3 linked regions of the Drosophila melanogaster genome follow. The protein of the gene in region 2 interacts with the protein of the main gene of each other region in a pairwise test. Each region holds a gene or a part of one and is shown on either strand. Other genes may lie near its edges.

Region 1 (4,702 bases), on a different chromosome or scaffold from region 2:
CATGTAGCATGTGTAGTATGTAGTATGTAGTATGTGGCATGTCGCGTGGGGTGACATGTTGCCCGATCTGCCGTCTGCCACAAAAACACGTGCACTCACTCGCAAATACTCATATATATGTACAAAGATATGTATAAAGATATAGGAGCCCAGATACAGATACTGTGCCACTTGAATTGAGGCAGGTTCAGCCCGCCGCACACTCATGGCCAATATTTGCCAGCAAATATGGTCGAAATCTATATTTAGACACTTACGAACCGCGAATCAACTGATCGATTCCCATCCAACGATCTCGATCTCCCTTCCCAATAATAAAAACAGAGAGAAGACAGAAAACCGGAGCGTATCGCTGTTAACTGGCTTTCTATTGGAACAGTTGGGCGCAGCGGTTAGCTGTTGATAGCCGAAAGCAAAACAAAGTCGAAACAAAAACAAGAGTGCGACTTTCAGACCTCGAGACTCTTGGCCAACTATTTTGGCTGCCGCTGCGCCCACATGGTAGCTCAACTGGTGCTAAAAAGTGATCGCCAAAAAATGATCGCACCGCCAATGCAGCGCATTAGTCAAAGCTGACTTTTTTGGCAATTTTTTTTTTTTTTGGTATTTTGTTATTTAATCTCTGTTTTTTTTTTCTTGCCATCGAATAATTTTAACTCGACATTGCGGCATTTCGTGTGTGGGTGAGAAAAGTTTGGTGGGGAATTTAGCTGAGATCATTCAGTAGGGCTAAGGACTTATAAGCATAGTCAATAATCATCGGAAATTATAGCGATTTTATTTGAGTGTGATCATCTATCAGTCAATGAATTGGTATTCACAGAGATCACTTGATAATCATGAGTTGTATCCATTAAGTGGACAAATTAGTTAGTTCAGTGAGTGATATGATATGATAAATTAATTCTAAGAACTACTAAAAAGATATTAACTGGAAAGAGCCCGAAGAAAGGAAATGGTATCCCAAAAATATCTGGGCACATACGTTTGTATGTATATGATGGGATCGCAACGATTCCTACGTGTATTTAAATGACCATCGCGATAAGCCAAAAAAGCCAAAATATACGAGTGGGATTAGTGGGCATATACAGATGCGATGTTCCCATGCTGAGCGACGAGGATCATTAGCGAAGTAAACCACTGACGATCGCTATCATAATACTGGCATGGCAAACATACGTACGTACAGAGATACCTGGCTGACTGACTGACCAGCGAAAGCAACCCATTGATAAGACCGCTACAGTGGACTATCTAAACCTAATAGCTGTGACAACCGCAAATTGCATGAGGAATACCATATCGACCGGAGGGGTAGTACCGCAGGGTAGGGGAATGTACAGGTAGTGGGACACAGGTAATGACAATAAACATTCTCCACTTATCAGCAATCCGCTGATGCACGCACACAGAGCGAAAATTAGGGCACGTTTCACGCACACCACGGTTTTGGATATTATGTTAGATAATATAGATTATAATTGTTATACCATTTTGCTCTATTTATATATTTTTATATCTTAAGAATGCCTAATTAGTCAATAGTAATAGTAGACCTTGTTTGCTCTGTGCACTTGTGGTTAAGGAAATATTGAGATGATGTTGCGGTTTTGGTTTAGACTTGGAGCTCAGACTTAAGTTTTGGGTTTTTGCCTTTTGATTTTTCGTTTTTTTTTTTTGGCATGCGATAAGACTCGAGACAAAGCCAATTTCCCGCCGATTTCATTGGAAAGATATGGAGTATAGGGGGTTATACATATGTGCTAGCAACAGCTGATTAGCCATTTGAGCAATTTGCAGCACAATCCGTACACATTATCAAAATTTGAGCCGTTTATCATCAGGTGCGTGAAAGCAAGAGGGCGGTGCCCGATGAGGTGAGGAAATGACAACGGCGACAGGAATGCGAATGCGAATATACGAATGCGAATGCGATTGTATGTATGAATGGTATGTAGATGTACGATGGGTATATATGGTAGGTGCTATAAGGTGGCCTGCGAATACCTGGCCGATTAGCAATCCACTGTCAAAATGCATTGAAAGCGAAAGACGACACTAAAGGAAACAGGGACCAAGGGTGCAATGTACCGAGTGTGTAAACCGAAGAGAACCAGGCACAATGTAAAGAAATCCAACGCACTTTTGGCGAGAAAGACAAAAGAGCTTTTCACTCAGAAAAAAAAAAGAATAGTTGTACAGCAGTAATTATTACTATTTATTTAAAGTTAGGTTTTAATCTTTTTCCAAAGATATTGTACAAAGATTTAGTATGATAACCCAAACTGGGAGCAATTAATGGCCAATCCAAATTCACCATCTCGAGTGTGCACTGTATTTTCTTCGAGTGAAAGAAGGGCAAGCGATCAAGAGAGATAGAGTGAGAAGAGAGAGCGGGTGGAAGAGCGAAAAAAGGAGTCCGCGTGGTCGGTGAACTTGAACTTGTGAAAGGATGGGGGAACTACCGGTAAGTGGCTTTATGGATGGGCTACGATCATCACTTTCAATTAAATTACCAGGGGAACGCCAATGCCGCCAAAAGTCGCAACCCGGGAGCCTAGGAACTGGGAATCTCTAGTTCTGAAGATCTCAAGATCTCTGGAACCTGCTCCAATTTTTGTGCGCACTCGCACTCACTCGCCGACAAACTTCACTTCACTTTTCGCACTTAACTCGGCTGCTGTTGTTGTTGTTGTTACAAAACAATTAAATATAAATAACAACGTTGTAGCGCAAATAAAAAAAATTAAACAAAAAAAAATAAATAAAGACCGGGGGAAAAATATAAAAAAAAAGATGTGTATTTAATTGAGCGCGACACGCAGTGATCTTGTGCGACACAATATTATTTTACTTGAGTTGCAGCACAATTTCAATTCTCGCGATCGCCTTACGACTACGGGACTACGGCTTTACGGATTCCGAAGATTACGGGTTCAATTTCTTCTCCACAATTCTCCTTCAGCGAACGAACGAACGAACAACCGACCGACCGACCGACCGTTTGTGGCCGAGTGCGAACTCGAACTAAACTGAACTGAACTGAAGCCGCCGACAAAACGAAGATCGTCGCCGGCAGCAACAACTCGCTGCGATAATAGCAGCAGCAACAACAACAGCAACAACACAAGCAAAATTACGAGATGCGAAACGATGGCGCACAGTGGTCACACTCCTACTGAAAACTCTCCATTCAGTTGATGGATAATGTTAAAAGTTCTTTGCGCCACAAGATATGTATATGAATCTAAACTATTTATCAATAATAAAAGTATATTAAGAGGTATTTTTAACTTAACAGCACAATGGTCGAAGAGTTAAGGAAAGTTGTATCATATGTTTACAGAACATGTTAACAGCACTTTACTCCACAAGATATATGAAACCATGGAGTAATAGCTTAATAGTTAAACTATATTAAAAAAGAACTTAAACTTAACTCTATTGTGGTCACATGTCAGTCATAAGATCTTACATTTTTCAATATATTAATTACAACCATTTACCCAACCATACTAATTTATGAAAGTATAATATCAAAACTATAATATAATGTATTAAGCAAACTTTACGCTTACTCATAGATCATTGTTGTCACTGTGGTTAACATAGGTTGTAAGGAAGATAGCAAAGTTTTTAACTTTGTTAAAGAAATATTTAATATTAAAGTTTATTCTTCTGCTACTAAGTCAACTTACTGTATTAAAAGTTTCCTAAACTATTCTTTCCGTAAATTAACAATGTTTTAAAATGGAAATTACTATGAATGCAATGGATTGTTATATTGGTGTTTTACGGTTACAAAATTTTCTTTAAAAAAGCGCGGAGTTGGCAAAAAATAAATATTGCTCACCAAAGTGAATTATTAAACGGCAGGTGCTGATTTACTTTCGATTTTGGAAAAGGTGCTTGTAATTATCAAAAATTTATGCTGTCCCAATTTAATTAAACGTGTAATGCAAAATAAGCTTATATTGTTTAAAACAAGTTATAGCTGAAAGCCAAAGCTATGGCACATGGAAATCTAAAATGGTTGTTTTGCAATATATCAGTAATATTTTTTCACATGGTACTGCTGACCAAATCAATATTTCTTGCTGTAAAATGAGACTTTTAATTGTCGGAAAATTATGACACCCATAAATTTTAATTAGCAATCTGTTCTTTTTGTCTTTCGTTGTTTGGTTTTAGCTGGAAATTGAATGCACAGACTTTGGTTCACAATCTTAACAGATTCTCTTGAAAATTATCTTTTATCAGTTTTACTATCGTATATGAATAAGTATTTATATTAAAAGATATATTATTGTGCTTAACCCGGTTATATCTTGTTAAGAGGGCGACGTGTTTGTTTCGCTTGATTTGCAGCTTTGTTTGCTATGTGATCGCATTTTTTGCTCGCACTTATTAATTTTTTTTTTTTACAATTCACCTTGTATTGCCAGCCACAAACAATTTGAAAACGCGAAAACTGTCGATGACCGATAAGCAATTGTCGATTACCGATTAGCGTTTTGACTTCTGGAATTGGAAAGAAGCTTCTGATTTCTGATTTTTCACCTTTTTTTTAGCCCTTCCATTTCGAAATTCAGGTTTTCTTGACAGACCCCCATACCCGCCCCATTTGTCGTGTTGTTCTTCTTGTTGTTGTAAAGTGCCATTGTGTCGTGTCGTCGATCTCATTCGCAAATTATCTTTG
Region 2 (4,493 bases):
CGTATCCACTTCGCACAAACTTTGCCATTTAATAGTCTTTGGTTATTTCGTAAAAGAAAAGTGTTTTAAACAATGCTCAAATATGCAACTATGGAATCATACTTAAATTAAATAATATTGTCCTTAGATTAACCCAATCCTTTTATATTTCTTCGCAACCGTACGAATTGACAACTCCTACCAAACATATAGTTATAAAATCGTAATTGTATTTTGTCCATCCCGAAATGTGATCTTTTTTAAGTGTGTCCTCGGATATTTACCGCATTTGAAAATGTTGGCCACATATAAAGCCAATCATTTTCGGGTGGATCATCCAAAGGCAGTTCTATGCTTCTTGAATATCGATCTGTACATTCCAAAGCCTATTGCGAAAAATATTTCATTTATGGTACGGTGGCACTGGCAGTTCCACTAGCTTGTTGTTAAATTCTTTGTTATTTATTATGAATATGGTTTTCGAAATTTGTTGATTGCCTTGTGATTTATGTATTCTATTAATTTTGCCTAAGCTAAATGCGTTTTTTCCATTTCTGCTGCCTATGAAGCATTTAAGAATTGTAAACTCAACTCTCGATTTGTAATCTAGATTTTAAGAACCTAAACCAGCAATGTGAATAAACCAAGAGACCCTTGTAATCGCAAGTTTTTTGTGAGTATCTTATTAATGTTTATTTAAATACTTAGGAGTAATCAAGCTCCTCGACCAGCTCGTAGAGGATGGCACCATCGGTGTCCTTCGTTGGAGATTCATTGCCATTATCTTGATCTTTGGGCGCAGCTTTTGGCCTACTACCCTTTACTTTGCAAGGACCTGCGGGTGTTTTTAAAAGCTTGGACCTGGTTAAAAATAGAAGGGAATAGTTAATAAACTACTGGATTACACTCTAATGTTGTAACATACGCAATTGTCAGTTCGTCCAGCATTGGAAGAAGTGTGGATCGTGTCACTCCGCGAGCTTCCTCTTCGGCCAGTTCCTTGGGGTGTGCCTGCCGTTTGTGCGATCGACAGTTGGAGCCATTGGCGAAGTCTCTTCCGCAAAAATTGCACTTATATGGCCGGATGCCGGTGTGAAGGATGAGATGTGCCTTCAGTGTCTTACTTCGCTTGAACGCCGATCCGCAGACTTCACACTTAAATTGCCGTGTATCTGAATGCACCAATTTGTGTTTGTTGAATGTGCGTCGGGTTTTTAACTTCAAGCCACATACAGTGCACTCGTAGATTTCGGCACTGTGTGTATCTAAATGGATCTGGCAAAAGATTAGGTAACTAGTTAATCGTACTGTAGTGGATAAGAGTACATGACAACCTACCTTTAACCTCGCATTGTTTTTAAAGCCTCGCTTGCACACGGGACACTCGAAGGGGCACTCATCTGTGTGCACAAGTTTGTGATCCTTCAGTCCAGTAATGTAATTGAAGCTTTTGCCACAGAGGTCGCACACATAGGGCTTTATTTGGTTGTGGATGCCTTCTATGTGTCGCTTCAGTGTTCCCGAGGTGGTGAAGCGCTTTTCGCAGTGTGGACAGCAGTTATCTGTCTTTGGTTTGGCACGTACATGGGTTCGGTGGTGGGCATGCAGTTGGGCGACTGTTGGAAAACATAGTTTGCACTGATTGCACTCCAACTGTGGCAGATCATCGGCCACAGTGTTGTGAACCTCCTCCATGTGACGCTTGTAGGCTTTGGGTTTCTTATACGGCTTTTTGCAAATATTGCACTTATACATGGCTGGTACCTCTGATATTTCATCCTCCTCATCGGTTACATGCTCTCGGGAGATATCTTCCTGGGTATCCTCGTTTGATTCTATAGATTCCACGGTGTCTTTTGTTTCTACGGGTTCTTTTTGCGGATTGTGTTGTACTATTTCATATGTTTCCATGTTGAAATCTGAAACTTGGCTTTCTTCTATAATCTGCGACTCCTCGATATAGCGATCCTCTGTCATGTGCTCCACTTCCTCCACTAAGCAATCTGTAGCGTCTTGGGTTTCCAACTCTTCCTCCACAGCTTCAACCTCTTCTCCCACAGTGTCAATCTCTTCCTCCACAGTTTCAACCTCTTCCTCGGCAAGATCTTCTTCCACATCTTCTTCTAGGATTTCCTCTTCCACCCCAGAAATTTGCATTTCTTCTTCAATAACATCTTCCTCTTTAGGAAAGTCTTGTTTTTCCTGAAGACATTGTTTTTCCACCAAAAAATTTGGTATCATTAGGATTTCACTTTTCATTTTACTGGATGTTTCTGTTTGGCAGACTATTGGTTGTTCCTCGCTGATGAATACTTCGTCATTCTGGGGAAGACTTTCGTCTACGGCTCCGAGCATTATATGCTTCCATCCATCGGTTGCCACACCGCAGTCCTCTCGAATTTTCTCATAATCCATCAAATTATTAGACTGTAACAACTGCAATTTGCTGAAAAGGATCTGCACTTTGCGAACCCTCTCCGAAAACTCGATGAGGCAGTCCATCAATGTGAAGCATTCGGAGCACAGAAAATTGCTCAGCTCGTCCTCCCTTTTGATCTGAAAGGCATGATCTTAGTTTTCTATTTGGAATATGTAAATTTATAGCAGTTACATCGACCCAAAAGTACTTGCCAATGGTCATGGCCATTGTGCTCGCCCAGGAGTTTTGTTTCGCCTCCCTGAAGAATACATTTTGATTTGTCGGATGCTCCTTGGAGCACAGGCGACACCATTGGTGCCAAATTGTTGAATCTCTGTTCGCGGCTTGTGTTTCTGCGAGAATATCCGACATATTCAGAAAACATCGAAAATATACTTTCGTTTTGTTTTGATTAACAGCCCTGCCTTGCAAAAATACCAGGGCTGCCAGCTACACAAGAAAACAGAGCTGCGGACTGTTCCATTGGTTTACAGTTCACGACTTAGAGGTTCCGGAACTACAGAGCAATTATTAAAACTAACGGTTAAGGGCAAGAAAACGGTATGCTTTTTTTATTTGGCATTTCATTTTTATTTAAGTCTTTTCGTATGTTTTTAGCATCCGTTTAACATATCAAACTCTACTCTAGCTAAAAGTACGAATATTTTTGAGATTCCGTTTCAAGAATCACAGATCTATTTGTATGTTATATTATGTATGCTCAAAAATTTTGATTTCATTTCTTTGAAAACGTGTACCAATTTTACAGCCAAGCAAAAACTGCCCTTTTAAAAGATTAAAAACAATTCGTCATCAATTTACAAAATAACTTATATTTGTAAAATTCAAAAACTTTCTACTTAGATATTAGTATTTGTGTTATTAACTGCGTTAATTAGGTCCATCATCACTCGAGCTCGTTTTAGACATTATGAGCATTCTTAAACTGTCCGTTAATTTGCGTATGTCCAGTATATGTCAGCGGCATATACGTCTAGAATATAGTATAGGTAATTTAGCTTATCAGCTTAGGGAACTAAATAATGCACTAGACTTAAACTAGGTAAGTGTACGAAACAAAATACTAGGTGTCCTTCAACTGCCGTTGATGGCGTCCTCCGATTTCATCGTCGAATTGGAGAACTGATCTCCGCCGGCCAGAAGATCGGCACTGGATGCAACTGGTTGCAGCTGTGCCTGTTGCACTGCCACGTTCACTGGGACCATTGGCACCATCGGCACAGCCGTGGCTTCCATTCCCGGAGCGGTGCTAATAGTTCTGGCCAGATTCTTTTGCTGTCGCATCAGTTTCTCCTTCTCGCGTTCCGCCTTCAGCTTATCGAAGTCATCGCCCTCGTCTTCGGGCTGCACTGCCGCATCGCCGAGTAGATCCGTGGAGGACCTCAGGTCCATGCTCTCCACTGGAAACATAGATGGTAAGTGTCAGTAAAGTATATGCCATGGTTAAATTCATCATACGCAACGTGCAACGTCTACGAAATGGCTAGGACTAATGCTAGGCGGGTACCAATATGAAGTTGAGGTTACGGGTTCATGGCTACCTACTTGACCAGCCAGAAACCTATTCTGCGGTCAAACAAAGCGCAAAATATTTAATTTAAAAGAGCCAAGCTGGGTTAAGTACTCAACAAGTGGGCATCGCTTTCAAAAAAACACATGCCAATTGTTTTAAAATTCAAATATAAAACTAAATTAAAAATGTAAATTTAAAGACAGCTTGGAAAAGATACATATTGTGGGAAGTTTTGGTTTTTTTGTGGGTTCGTTAGGTTGAATACTAAACTAAATTAAGTAATTAAAAAATGGTTACTGTAAAACAAAAAGCTTATTAGCAATTTTTTCATTATTAATTTTGCAGGGTATATTCAAAAATAAATTGTTAAAATTAGTAATAGTTTAATTTTTGTTACTAAATAAGTTTCAATTAAAAATATTTTTTAGTACACACGGAAATAACTGTATACATTTTCGTTTATAAATAAATCATAAAATAAGAGCAGACAATCAAAAAAAAAAAATTTAACAAAAATAAGAGTGTAATAGGGAAATCAGCAACGATTACGTAGAAGAGCAA
Region 3 (3,346 bases), 8.2 Mb from region 2:
CGAGCCGATGAGCGAAATCTGGATCCACCAGGCCATCCACACAATCGAGTATATCCTTAGTACCATCTCACACACGGCCTCATATCTTCGTCTCTGGGCCTTGTCCTTAGCTCATGCCCGTAAGAATCTGCTAAGTCAGTAATTGAATTTGTACTTCATGCAGATCTTATTTCAGAGCTATCGGAGGTGCTGTGGACTATGGTGCTGGCGATGGGACTTCAGATGAACGGCTACGTGGGCGCCATTGGGCTGTTTTTCATCTTTGCCGTTTGGGAGTTTTTCACCATCGCTATCATGGTCATGATGGAGGGTCTTTCCGCCTTCCTGCACACATTGCGCTTGCACTGGGTGGAGTTCATGAGCAAGTTCTATGTGGGAAACGGATATCCGTTCACGCCATTCAGCTTTAAGGATATTTTGATCGTCGTCGAAGATGATTAGAACCATCAGGATAGCCATCGTGATTCGCTCCTTGAAGAAGGTTTAATTAAAAAAGCATTACAGAATAAAAAGTACTTTATTTGTCAAATTATTTGGAAAACGCAGCAATATTAAGGATTATTTTTTGGAAGATGAGGTACGACCGTATTTTCCAATGCACCTTTGGCGATTGTTCAAGTGTTATTTGTTTTCCTGTACTTAAATTGCAGAAATTTTGGATTTTAAGTCTTCGATTATCCCACTGTGGAAAAAACAAACATTTGGGATACATGTTCTTGTACGGTTTTTTTATAACTCCTAATAGTTACTCACATGAGGTCATGTTCGATCTGGCCTAGAACACGGATATCATTAGCCATTGACTTTTGGGTGGTGTTAACAAATTCTCGCTTCTTTTTGAGCTCCTCGGTCTTTAAAGCCGTCTTAGCGCGAATTTCTTGCGTTTCTTTCTTGGTGTTAAGTATGGTCTTCTTTAGATCGTGGTAGTTCTGAAATAGAAAATATTTGGATAGAATTTTACAAACCTGCAAGATTACTGGTTTCTTGAGGAGATTACATACCATCACGGTGAACTCATCGAAGCATTTCGTCTGCTCCTGCATCTCGGCCTTGACCTTGAGCGCCTTCTTGCAATGGTCATCGTAGGCCTGGGAGACGTTTCTCTTGGCGGTGACCGCCTGATTGAGGCTCTCCAGGATCTTGGCGTTCTTCGTATGCAGAAAGTGGATGTCGTCCACAAGATTCTGGGAATTGGTGACATGGGTTAAGTCGTTCAAAGTGGTGTACTTCTCGGCAATCAGGACATCCAACTCCTTCTTCTTTTCATCGACCAGCGCGGTACGGTGATCATTTTCGGAGCCCTACAATAATATCAAAATGTATATAAATTTTAACTAAAAATGTTTCCTTTCTTAACTTACCAATTGGGCCACTGATTTCTCAATGTATGCTGTCACTTGGTCATCTTCCTCAGGTGGGACCTCAGTTTTGGAGTCTTCCTTGTTCCAATCTTGGTTACTACCCATTGCTCATGTAGTTTTGGATAACAATTTGTTTAACTGTAATAATAATTGTCGCAACGTTCTATTCAAGTTTTGGCGAAATTTCTGTTTTGACGTACAAAATGGCGGTCAACTTAGTGTTGGAAAACAGCAGATAGGTCGATGACGATAGCAACTTTCTACACACTTATTGGTGATAGATCTGTTGATGAGCGCGCTATTTAAATTTACACCAATTGGAAATATTTACGTTCTAGTCAAAGAACACAAATACTTCATAACTTTAATAGTTTCCATATCTGAAATTGGCATACATTATATTCACATTCATGTTCATATATTTATGTATATCACAGAAACTGTGGACGATCGACTCTGACTCTGGACTTGTGACTCTGATCAAAAATATAAATATATATAATAAAAATATATTCTTCTACATGTTTCACACTTTTCAGCGAATCTAATATACCCTCCTTTTACTTTGTGAGTATAACTGAAAGCTTTGACGTGATTTGTTTTGCAAAATGGTTCGTAACATTAAACTTTGTGTGAGAAACCTTCTTAATTTAAAAAAATGAGACGGTTTCTCTTCTCTTTTCTTCTAACAAACCGTGACCGCCAGCGAGGATGCCGAAGAACTGGCCTCCGCAGATTTACCCCAACCTTATTGGGTCATCTCATAGTTCATTGATAAGCACGGCATTCCAACCACGGCCCACTTGTATGTGGGTTTGGGTTACGTTAGTGGTGCATTGGAAGAAGGTCATCATATTGAGGGCAGCGATCAGCGCAAAATTCTTGCGGATGGCAGCGAAATCAGATGGAAATGATCGAGTGGGGAGTTTATTTAGAGGTAGTCATTATGAAACTCCGGTCAGTTGTGGAGCCATCGAGCAACAGACAGGTCTCCGGTCTTTCCATTCGTAATTCTGGATTAAAACATGTGGCATTTGTGTTTGGCTCTTTTGGGACTGGCGGTAGTGTGCTTTGCGGATACACTGGTTCAGCTCCATGTGAATCGTCCTTACAACGATGTGAACGAAAAGTTTGTCAGTTTTGCCGTTCGTCCGGAGGATCTGTACGATGCCCTGGATGGCAAGAACCGCAAGGCGGTGACCAATTTGGCGAATCTGCTGGGAGATGCGCACATCAAGTTCGTGGGAGATTTTTACTTCGCCAGCAATGCGCCAACTAGGCTGCGAAACCCCACCAAAATCATTTGGAAGGGGTTCAATCGGTGGTCGCGGTAAGTTGGTGGTGATGGCTTTCCTCCCATTTTCTGATCATCTATCTGACCTTATTTTTCGAAGGGCCGTAAACTGGACCATGATCATCCCGGTGCCTTATGCGCCCGATGATTGGGACTCCATGCATACGCTGAAGATCCTGAACACCTCCTATATGGTTGGCATCACCGACTGCATCTGGCAGCTGGGCACAGACTTTGGCACCTCCAGAGCCAAGGACTACGTCCAGGAACTTCGAACTCTCAAACTGATGACGGATACTTTCAAACCGTATGTGGACGACTGGCGACTAATGGGAGCGGACATTTCAGCTGGAAGCAGTGCTGATGAGACCAAGAGATACGTAGATATGTCCAAGGATCTGAATACGGCATTTGGATGGACGCAGTAAGTAGTGAGATTGGAAGTGAATGTATTTATGAACATTATAGAAGTAGCATCTTACCTTTTAATAATTATTTTGTTCCAACTGTAGACCCGCAAACATGCTGCCCAAATCAAGCCTGGGAAGCTACTTGTACGACAGCGATCCTGCCCTGCGAACCCTTCAGCAACAGCGCGTTCCCTTGTGGCTGACCTTGCCGGAGGAGCGATCCTCGCAGAGATTGGTGGGCGACGAGACCACGGATGCCTTGCGGTGGGCCCAAACTATGG

What was found.
Region 1: the proteins of CG6254 (region 2) and spri interact in a two-hybrid assay, tested with the Drosophila melanogaster proteins (one large-scale study listed by BioGRID).
Region 3: the proteins of CG6254 (region 2) and cona interact in a two-hybrid assay, tested with the Drosophila melanogaster proteins (one large-scale study listed by BioGRID).

Annotation. Positions count from the first base shown.
Region 1 is NC_004354.4:10,582,391-10,587,092, forward strand, and holds the start of spri (sprint), read right to left. Parts: upstream 3,033-4,702; 5' UTR 2,520-3,032; intron 1-2,519. UniProt on the Drosophila melanogaster protein: Potential Ras effector protein. May function as a guanine nucleotide exchange (GEF), by exchanging bound GDP for free GTP.
Region 2 is NT_033777.3:10,158,492-10,162,984, forward strand, and holds CG6254 (uncharacterized protein), read right to left. Parts: upstream 2,841-4,493; 5' UTR 2,771-2,840; coding exon 2,591-2,770; intron 2,536-2,590; coding exon 1,318-2,535; intron 1,255-1,317; coding exon 905-1,254; intron 841-904; coding exon 684-840; 3' UTR 653-683; downstream 1-652. Other genes in the region: Best1 (bestrophin 1), read right to left, coding at 3,494-3,819.
Region 3 is NT_033777.3:18,384,042-18,387,387, reverse strand, and holds cona (corona), read right to left. Parts: upstream 1,561-3,346; 5' UTR 1,467-1,560; coding exon 1,362-1,466; intron 1,302-1,361; coding exon 1,002-1,301; intron 930-1,001; coding exon 754-929; intron 683-753; coding exon 640-682; 3' UTR 501-639; downstream 1-500. Other genes in the region: Vha100-4 (vacuolar H[+] ATPase 100kD subunit 4), read left to right, coding at 1-119, 176-441; CG14309 (uncharacterized protein), read left to right, coding at 2,387-2,691, 2,756-3,079, 3,168-3,346.